Coturnix japonica: one gene and its partner. The protein of the gene in region 1 purifies or fractionates together with the protein of each later gene. This does not show direct contact. Links are inferred from orthologs where the notes say so. Each region holds a gene or a part of one and is shown in the gene's direction. Other genes may lie near its edges.

Region 1 (4,468 bases):
GGGGCAGCGAGAAACAGGGGCCGCCCCTTCATGTTGCCGGGCGGTGAGTGGGATGGGGGCTAAAAGTGGGGTGAGGGAGCTGCGGGGGTGAGTGTGGGTTTTGGGTGGGGGTCTGAATGTGTGGGGTGGGAGTTGTGTGAGTGCATAAAGGGGGTGGGGGCACCCCTGTGTGCAAAGGGGGGGATGTGATGAGCACTGGGCGTGCAAGGGGAGGAGGCAGGCGATGGAGCTGCCATGCTGGTGTGTATATACACGAGTCCTGCAGGTGGAGGTGCTGGTGGTGCATCTCCCCATTCATATGCTGCAGCCCCACCATGGAGGTCAGCCACTCAGTCAAGGAGCGCACCATCGCCGAGAACAGCCTGGTGATCCTGCTGCAAGGTCTGCACGGCCACGTCACCACCGTGGATCTCCGCGACGAGAGCACGGCCACGGGACGAGTGTCCAACGTCGACGCCTTCATGAACATCCGCCTGGCCCAGGTGACGTTCACGGACAGACGAGGGGAGGTGTCGCAGCTGGACGAGATGTTCGTGGCGGGCAGGAACGTGCGCTACGTGCACATCCCGGATGGGGTGGACATCAGGGCCACCATCGAGCGGCAGCTGCAGGCCATCCACCGCGTGCGCTACTTCGGGGGCCGCGACAAGGGCAGGAGGGAGTTCCCTCGAGCCAAGCACAAATGAGCCCCATTCCTCAATCAACAGCCCAGCTTGGAAGCTCCATCCCTGTGTAATGGCAGCTACTCCTTTATCCCTGTCCTTATGTTTTTCCAGCTCTCAAACAAAGCCCTTTTGGCCTCAGTGCTTGGCTCTGCAGTGATCATTGCCTATAGGCTCTATAGGGCTGCCAGCTACTCCTCCATCCCTCTCTTTATGTATTTCCAGCTCTTAAAGCCCTTTTGGCCACACTGATCATTGCCTACAGGCTCTATAGGGCTGGCAGCTGCTCCTTTATCCCTCTCCTTATGGATTTCCAGCTCTTAAAGCCCTTTTGGCCTCAGTGCTCGTTGCCTATAGGCTCTATAGGGCTGTATCTATAGCTCCTGGGGCCTGGCTGCCTGCATGGGCCTGGTCTGAGGGTGGGCAGTGGGCAGTGCATGGGGTACTGCCATCATGGCGTCCATCTTAAGGCCTAGCACCACGCATGGGGGCGGTGGAGCAGTGCGCATGCGCGGGTGGGAGGGGGCGGGCCTTGAGGTGTTTCTCTTCCAATCAAAGCGCGGATAACATCCCGCCCGCCGACCAACCCGCTCACACAGCATGCACCAATCAACGGAGAGAGTTATCTCTCATCAGCCAATCAATCATCACCACTCAGCCAATTAGTGCTCGCCTCCCATCACTCTATCAACACCCCTCTCGCAGCCAATCACATCCGGGCGCTGCTTCAGCTATCCAATGAGCGCCGCCGTTCCTTCAGAAGGCGGGGCGATGACTTGGGGGCGGGGCCGGGTTGTGCGTCACTTCCGCTGTCAGGTGGCTGAGAGGAGGCCGCGCCGAGCGGCCGCTCCGGCCCCGGGGCCATGGGTGAGTGATGGGCCGGGATGGGCCGGGATGGGGCGGTGTGGGACACTATGAGAGGCCGGAGGGGGAGTAAACAACGGGTCACAGCCCTGGGTTCGGGTCTGTCCCCCTTTGGCTGCGTGTGGGGGTCTATTATCCAGCAGCAAAGCGGCCCTTAGTGCTGCCCGGCTTGTGGTGGGGCTGTGTAGGCCCAGTGTGAGGCCTATACAGCAGCATTAAAGCCCTTAGAGCTCGTTAATGCTTCGAGGAAGGGCTGCAATAATCCTCGGGGCATTAAGTGTTATCCCCTCCTGTATCCACACAGAGCTCTGTCCTATAGGCCCTTACTGAAGAGGAGGGTCACAAAGGTGATCAGGGGGCTGGAGCAGCTCCACTGTGAGGACAGGCTGAGGGAGCTGGGTTTGTTCAGCCTGGAGAAGAGAAGGTTGCAGGGTGACCTCATTGCAGCCTTTCAATACCTGAAGGGAACTTACTCCCAGGAGGGGAGTAAACTCTTGGAAAGGGCTGACAATAGCAGGACACGGGGAAATGGTTTGAAGTTAAAAGAGGGAAGATTTAGGTTGGATGTTAGGGGGAAGTTCTTCATTAGGAGAGTGGTGAGGCCCTGGAACAGGCTGCACAGGGAGGTTGTGGATGCCCCGTCCTTGGAGGTGTTCAAGGCCAGGTTGGACTTGGCCATGGGCAACCTGATCTATGGGGTCTCTATGGGGTCTCTGTGGGGATCTATGGGGTCTCCTGGGCAACCTGATCTAATAAATGTGTATGTTTGGTGGCCCTGCTAGGCAGGGGGGTTTGAACTACATGATCCTTGAGGTCCCTTCCAACCCGGGTCATTCTGTGATTCTGTGAAGGGTTCACAGCCCCTGCTGGGCTCAGCCTGTATTTAGAGCTCAATGCTGCTCTATGTCCCTGCACTGCTCTCATTGAGCCTCAAACTGTGCTGGTGTCTATTTCAATGCGAAATAACCCTGTTTGCTTACCAACGCGTGCTTCTTTCTTGTACCCGATACCATCTATCAACGTGCTTTCGTGCTGCAGACAATAGTAACGTTGGCGTGGCGGTAGGATTTACCCATATGGGTGACGTCTATGTTTCTCTCTATCTCATCCCGGGTTGATGAGTGGGGCATTGTGAGCAGCAGCCACACCTGGCTGTAAAAGTGTCAGCACGTGTGAGTCACACGCTGATGTGTGTGTATATGTGTGTATATATCTGTGTGTGAGGAAAGCCCTGCTGTGCTGTCGCTCTGCCCATAGCAACTGTAAACCAAAATAACCCCCTACAGCAACACGCCTCCCCCCCCTGCATCAGGATATGGGGCTGCACAGGGACGTGGCTGTGCTGCTGTGAAGCTGGAGCTGGTGTTTGTGTAACCCAGCAGGGAACTCCCAGCGATGAGTCCTTGGCGAGCCCTTGTGTTGATGCATCAGAAGGGTTTGGAGCAGCCCAGCCTGCTGCCAGCTCGTGGTCACGGCACTGGAATCTTGTGCTATGGAGCTCCCTGCTGGGGGCTGGGAAGGGATTTCCTCTCCTCCAGTGGGTTCTGCCCATGGAAGTGGTGTGTTCCCAGCACTGCCTGTGCTCGAGGCTCTGAGTGCTGTGAGCCCAGCTCTGTGCCTCCCTCCGAGCTCACTTGGTGCAAGGGGAAGGAGCTCACTGAGCTCCGTGTTTCCAAGAAATCAGTGACTCAGGGCTGCTGTGTGCTCTGTTGAAGGCAGCTCTTCCCAGAGAGGCTCGTGGGTTTGGTTGTACTGTCGCTTCTGAGTCATCCAGTGGACTTTTTCTTTGATTATTTGTGTTTCTGTTGCAGAACTGCTGAACTTCCTTAACTTTTGGTGTTCTTTCCGGCTCTCTACCAAACGTTGCAGTGTTGGGCTCCCAATAAACCCAAAGCTGTCCAGCAGACACCGCTGGGCTCTTATCTGCCACTGCCCCAGCACTGTCCTGTCTCCTCTCTGTCACCCCATTTCCTTCCTTGCAGAGACCAGCTCCTCGCTAGGACAGCACTGTGGCCTTTGGCATTCACCTCATAAGCCCAGACAAACCCTCTTTGTGCCCCTGTGATATAAAGCAGCAGAAAGCACCGCTGGGTTTGTGTCAGCTCTTCCAGTTCCTTCACTAGTTTCTGTGGTGCTGAGTAATCCTGCTCACACCCCAAAGGTGCTGTTTTTTCAGCTCCTGCTATTAATGCTATTATGAAGGCAGCTGGACTGCAGGACCTGCCCGTTCCTCACCCTGATGCACAGTGCAGCCTCCTCCACTTGCTTTCCTTTGTTGCTGTGCTGGGCACTGGGACGTTGCGTGGCAGTTCAGGAATTAGACAATTTCCTTAAGCTACCTAATTAAAAGACATTAGATCTGGGCCTCCACAGTTATTTGATTAACGGTTCTATTAAAGTCATGATGCAGTAGGAAGCTCTACAATTCTCCACTAAGGTTTGGATGCAGTGCTTGCACTATACCAGAACTCAGAGATGAATTCCTATGTTAGACTTGCAGCCTCATTGTCTGAACCCTATGGTGTCACAGATGGAGCGGGGGTGGCAGAGCTCAGTGTGAGCAGTTCCTGCACTGAAGGGGGTGGGGAACCACTGTGTGAGCATCCATGGACCTGCTGGGATACACTGTGTTGAGATGGATTGTACTGATGTTGAAATGGGGTTCCCTTTGCAGTGGGAAGAGCTGGGAAAGGGCACAGTGCTGCTCATCTCCGTGTTGGGATTGCTCCATCACAGCAGGATTGGTTCCTGTGCTGCCTGCTTGCTGTGTACCCATCACAAAGCACATCACCTTGCTGTGCTTTGAGCTGTGGGGCGATGGGCAGCTGGGTCCTGGTGTGCTGCTCCTTGACTTGAGGTGTCTCCACTCACAGCCTGCAGCAATCCCAAACCCAGACTTCTATGGAGCTGCTGTTTGTGTCTGAGCAGCACCAGCTTTGTGT
Region 2 (4,741 bases), on another chromosome or scaffold:
TACTGGTGTGTCATGCATCTTCCGATAACTAACACAATGACTTATTAATTTCTTCCCATAGCAAGCAGCCGGTTTATTTATAAATGGCCCAATCCAACAGGGTCCCTCTGCGTATCCCATGGGATACACTGACAGAAAACCAGACCTGTCCCAGGCACTGGGGAAGTGGGGTGATGGTTACACAATTCCCATTGCTGCTGGCTGCTCCAGTTACAGAGATAAAGGGTCAGAGAAGTGGAGCAGTGGAGACAGATAACTGCGCATCACAGGGCGAGCAGCTGAGCTCGCAGTGCGGGCACTGCCAAACCTAAGACAGATGCTGGAATGCCATGGGAGAAGAATTCCTTAAGTAACACGGGAATGGAACGGCAATGCCCAAAGTCCCCTTAGGGAACACTTAGGTAGTGACAGGACAAGGGCGAATGGCTTTAAATGAACATCACGGAACCACTGAGGTCAGAAATGACCACCAAGCCCCTTGTCCCGTGCTACAAAGATGGAGGCATACGTGGAATGAGGGAGCTGCAGTCAAATATGGAACCTGAAGATCTGATCATGTCTCTTTGCCAGAGTTTCCTAATCCCTCTTACCAGAAACATCCCTCGCTTCACAATCACACCTTATTCATGTCATCAAAATGGATGATATGGGAATATTAAATATTAAAATGTTTTATTATTTACAGATTAATAATATTGTGTATTTTAGGAGGGCTGCTCTGAAGGTCGTGCCTCCTATTTTATAACGGCCCACAGTGTCAGAGGTGGATGCTGGTGATGGGGCAGTAGTGGTTGAGCCTTCCCACCAGTATTCAGTTCTGTGTTGTTGCCATGGGACAGATGGCAGCAGAGGGGCTGAATGGAATCGGACATGGAAGTGCGTGTGAAGCAGAGGTGTGTCACTGAGCAACTCCATGCAGAAAAAACGGCACCCACTGATGTACAATGACACTCAATGAGCGTTTCTGCAGATGGGACTGATCACTGATGGGACTGATCACTAATGGGACGTCACTGATGGGACACATCACTGATGGGACTCATCACTGATGGGACGTCACTGATGGGACGCAGCCTTCCAGGAGAGGAAACACGGAGCAGAAGTGCTGATGGCTCCGTGCGTGCTTTGCCTATAAGGGGAACAAAATACAACAGCGCGTTCCGAGCTGCAGTGAATCGCTCCGAAAAAATCTGCAGGCGTTCTTCGAATTGTTTGGTAAAGGAAAAAAAATATATATATATATATATAAAGGCAAAGAAAGGAAAATGCAGCCCCTGGGATATCCCTTTATGGCAGATGCATTTTGTGTTTAAACGCATTAATGGCTCTGCTATGCCGTGACTCACACAGCAGCACGGTTTCACGCGTTTCTTAAAATACACGTTGAGCGCTGACGGCGGCGCCGGGCGCTGCCTGCGGGAGCGGCACGGGGAAACCTCAGCGCCGAGCGCCTGGGAACGGGCACCGATGTGAACTGAAGAGCCGGCCGTGCGCTAACACTGCGGCTCCCCGCTCCTTGTTCGCTTTGCTGCCCGTTTCTCTCTTGCTTTCCGGCTCCCCGCCCTACAGCTGCCCCTCGCCGGCTGCCGGGGACGCGGTTTCACGGGGGCTGATCGCCCCGAGGAGCCTCGTGGCGACGGAGCCGGGCTCCGCTTTTCGCTTTCGCTCGTGGGAGCAGCGCGGGGCCGCCGGAACTCCGCAACCGGGGTCGGGGTCGGGGTCGTCCCGGAGCGACGGGCGCGGCCGGGAGCATCGCACGGTGCAGCTCGGGGGCACGGCGGGGCGGGCGGACAGCGGGGCGGAGCGGAGCGGGGCCGGGCCGAGCTCCCTCCTCCCACTTCCCCGTGCGTCAGGGCCGGGAGGAGGAGGAGAAAACTGCTTTTTTTTTTTTTTAAAGCCTCCAACTACTTTAGCGCGGAGTCGGCAGCAGATGGTGGACACGGCCCGGGGCTGCGGCGGGGACAGCGAGGGGATGCGCCAGCCGCGCTCCGCCCGCCCTTAGCCCCCGGCCCCGCTTCTTCTTCTCCTTCACCTCGCCCTCCACCATCACCTCTTCCTCCTCTTCTTCCTCTCCCCGCTCCGCTCCGCGCCCCCCATGAGCCGCCCCGCTCCGCCGCCGCCCCGCCGCGCCGCCGCGCTCCTCCTGCCGGCAGCCCGCTGCCGCAGCGCCCCGGCCAAGCGGCTCCAGCCGCTGCACGACGGCCCCGCCGAGGAGGCTCCGGCCGCCAAGTGCCCGCGCCTGGCCGAGTGTCCCGGCGGAACCCCGGACTGCCTGAGCGCCCCCGGCTCGCCCTGCGCGCCCGTCTCGCCCGCAGCCGGCGGAGGAGCGGCGGGGAATGTGGGCACGGCGGGGCCCAGCCTCATCGCCTCGTACCTGCTGCTGCCGCTGGCCGAGCGCGAGCAGGTGTCCCGAGCGCTCAGCGTCAGCTCCGGCCGGGAGCTCCGCTGCAAGGTGAGCGCCGGGCGGTGCGGGCTCGGAGGGGGCTGAGAGGGGACGAAAGGCTTCGGGGCGGTTCGTGCTTTCCGTCGGTTTGGCTTGTGCTCCCCGTCGTCCGTGCGGAACGAACGGCGGAGCCGCGGGGAGGCTCCCGGTGCCGCTCCCGAGCGCGCTGGCGCTCCTCCATTCCCGGCATTGTTTGCAAAGAGTCTCTAGACGCGATTCCGCTCCCAACGCCCTCGAGAACGAACGTTGTGCTCGTTTCCTTTGTGCAGGTGTTCCCTCTCAAACACTACCAGGACAAGATCCGGCCCTACGTCCAGCTGCCCTCGCACTGCAACATCACCGGCGTGGTGGAGGTGATCCTCGGGGACACCAAGGCCTACGTGTTCTTTGAGAAGGACTTTGGGGACATGCACTCCTACGTGCGGAGCTGTAAGAGGCTGAGGGAGGAGGAGGCCGCCCGGCTCTTCCGACAGATCGTGGCGGCCGTCGCTCACTGCCACCAGTCGGCCATCGTGCTCGGAGACCTCAAGCTCAGGAAGTTTGTCTTCTCCAACGAGGAGAGGTGAGCGGCTGTCACCGGGCAGGTGGGGGGAAGCCTGGTTCAGAAGGGCAAAGAGCATCCCAGGAACAGGGTGGACCTGTGCCCCGTGTGTGCAGTGGGGCGCCTGCTGGCTGTGGTTGGGTCTTGGCTGAGGAGCTCTCCATCAGCCTCCCCTCTTCCAGCAGAAGTTCAGTGAGGCAGTCACAGGGAGTCAGTTGGGTCTTGGTGATGATGGATGAGTTTTGGGGTCAAATGGATGAAGGGATGGGATGTGGAGGGAATGAGGGCAGCACGGTGCTGCTCAGCATCTCCGCGTTGGTGGCAGTGCTTCTGCTGCTCCATGGATATGGGCATGCACGGCACAGAGGGCGGTCCATGGTTAAATGTCCTGCAGAGGGGAAAACTGGTAGAACTTAACCTAAAGCCTGAGTTATGGCAAGGTGGTTCCAGCTTCCCCCATCTGCTGGCACGCTGCTGGGATCAGCTTCTAAATCTAGACCGAGGCGAAGCATTCAGTGTCTCCCTGGAGAGCTGGCTGCTCTGTGCACTGCGCTGCACGTGGCAGGGCTGGGAGTGCGGTGTCAGCCCCGGGAACTGACCCTGAGTGGCTGCTGTGCTGTAGGAAGCTCAAAACATGGGCACAGGCTGCAATGGGGTCGTGCTTAATGCGACGAAACGGAAGGAACCGCTGTGTTTGGTTTTCTTTTTTAACTGCTTCTGTGGGATATCGTTTGTGAAGGTGATAAGACGACGAACCAGAACTGCACCTCTTAAACAGAAACAGCCGTATGTTGACATGCAAAGAAAGTAATTCCTTTGAAGGAAACTATTGCAGCTTTTCCCGCCCCTAGTGAGATGAAACATTTGTTGAAATGTTACATTGCACACAGCCCGGCTCGTTTGGAAATTGGCGTTGCACAGGCGAGTGTCATGTGCATTGCGTTTGGCAAGAAGAGGGTTAAGCAATGGCAGGCGGGCGCTGGGGCTCACCAGCACAGGTGCAGTTTCAGTGCTCCCGCGGCCAATCCTGGGCCCACGGTTCGCATTGAGTCACATTTTCCGTTTACAGAACCGATGGGTATTTTGCATTGCAGCGGGAGGTCACGCCGAGGACAGGCTGCAGTTAGCACATCCCTGTGGCACGTGAGCCGTGGCTGCTGGTGGGAAGCTCCCGGTTTGCCACTACCGGGAGCAGGGCACCACCTGGAAAGGCAAAAGGGAGAAAATAGGGATTGAGCAAGCTGGTGAGCGCCGAGAGTGCAGAACAGCCAGGCTTTGTGTTGTGAAAATGAATGCTGGGATGGCAGCAGGAGCCTCGCTGGCGTTCCTCGAGAGCCCAGCATTTGCTGTCGGCCCAGCAAATGAGCGTGCATGTAGCTGCACTTGGGGCTGGGATCAGCATCCCTGGTGCAGATTAGGAAGTTGTCGCCTCTCCTTTGCTAATGCATGGAAGGGAGCGGTGGTCGCTGTGCAGAGCAGTTGGTCTTGCTGCCACATGTCTCTAACCCATGGCTTCTCCTTGTTGCTCCCCACAGGACGCAGCTGAGGCTGGAGAGCCTGGAGGACACGCACATCATCAAGGGCGAGGACGACGCGCTGTCGGATAAACACGGCTGTCCTGCCTACGTCAGCCCCGAGATCCTCAACACAACGGGGACGTACTCGGGGAAGTCAGCCGACGTGTGGAGTTTGGGAGTGATGCTGTACACGCTGCTCGTGGGCCGCTATCCCTTCCATGACTCGGACCCTAGCACCCT

What was found. The genes of interacting proteins can lie anywhere in the genome.
Region 2: the proteins of STK40 (region 1) and TRIB1 purify together in Homo sapiens (affinity purification with mass spectrometry; 3 studies listed by BioGRID and IntAct, counting the BioPlex papers as one, with this or other methods). This does not show direct contact. The link is inferred for Coturnix japonica from reciprocal best matches to the Homo sapiens genes STK40 and TRIB1.

What each region holds. Positions count from the first base shown.
Region 1 is NC_029538.1:3,592,310-3,596,777, forward strand, and holds the start of STK40 (serine/threonine-protein kinase 40), read left to right. Parts: upstream 1-1,434; 5' UTR 1,435-1,529; intron 1,530-4,468. Other genes in the region: U7 snRNA-associated Sm-like protein LSm10, read left to right, coding at 315-686. UniProt on the Homo sapiens protein: May be a negative regulator of NF-kappa-B and p53-mediated gene transcription.
Region 2 is NC_029517.1:125,153,412-125,158,152, forward strand, and holds the start of TRIB1 (tribbles homolog 1), read left to right. Parts: upstream 1-1,784; 5' UTR 1,785-2,095; coding exon 2,096-2,452; intron 2,453-2,712; coding exon 2,713-3,005; intron 3,006-4,519; coding exon 4,520-4,741. UniProt on the Homo sapiens protein: Adapter protein involved in protein degradation by interacting with COP1 ubiquitin ligase. The COP1-binding motif is masked by autoinhibitory interactions with the protein kinase domain.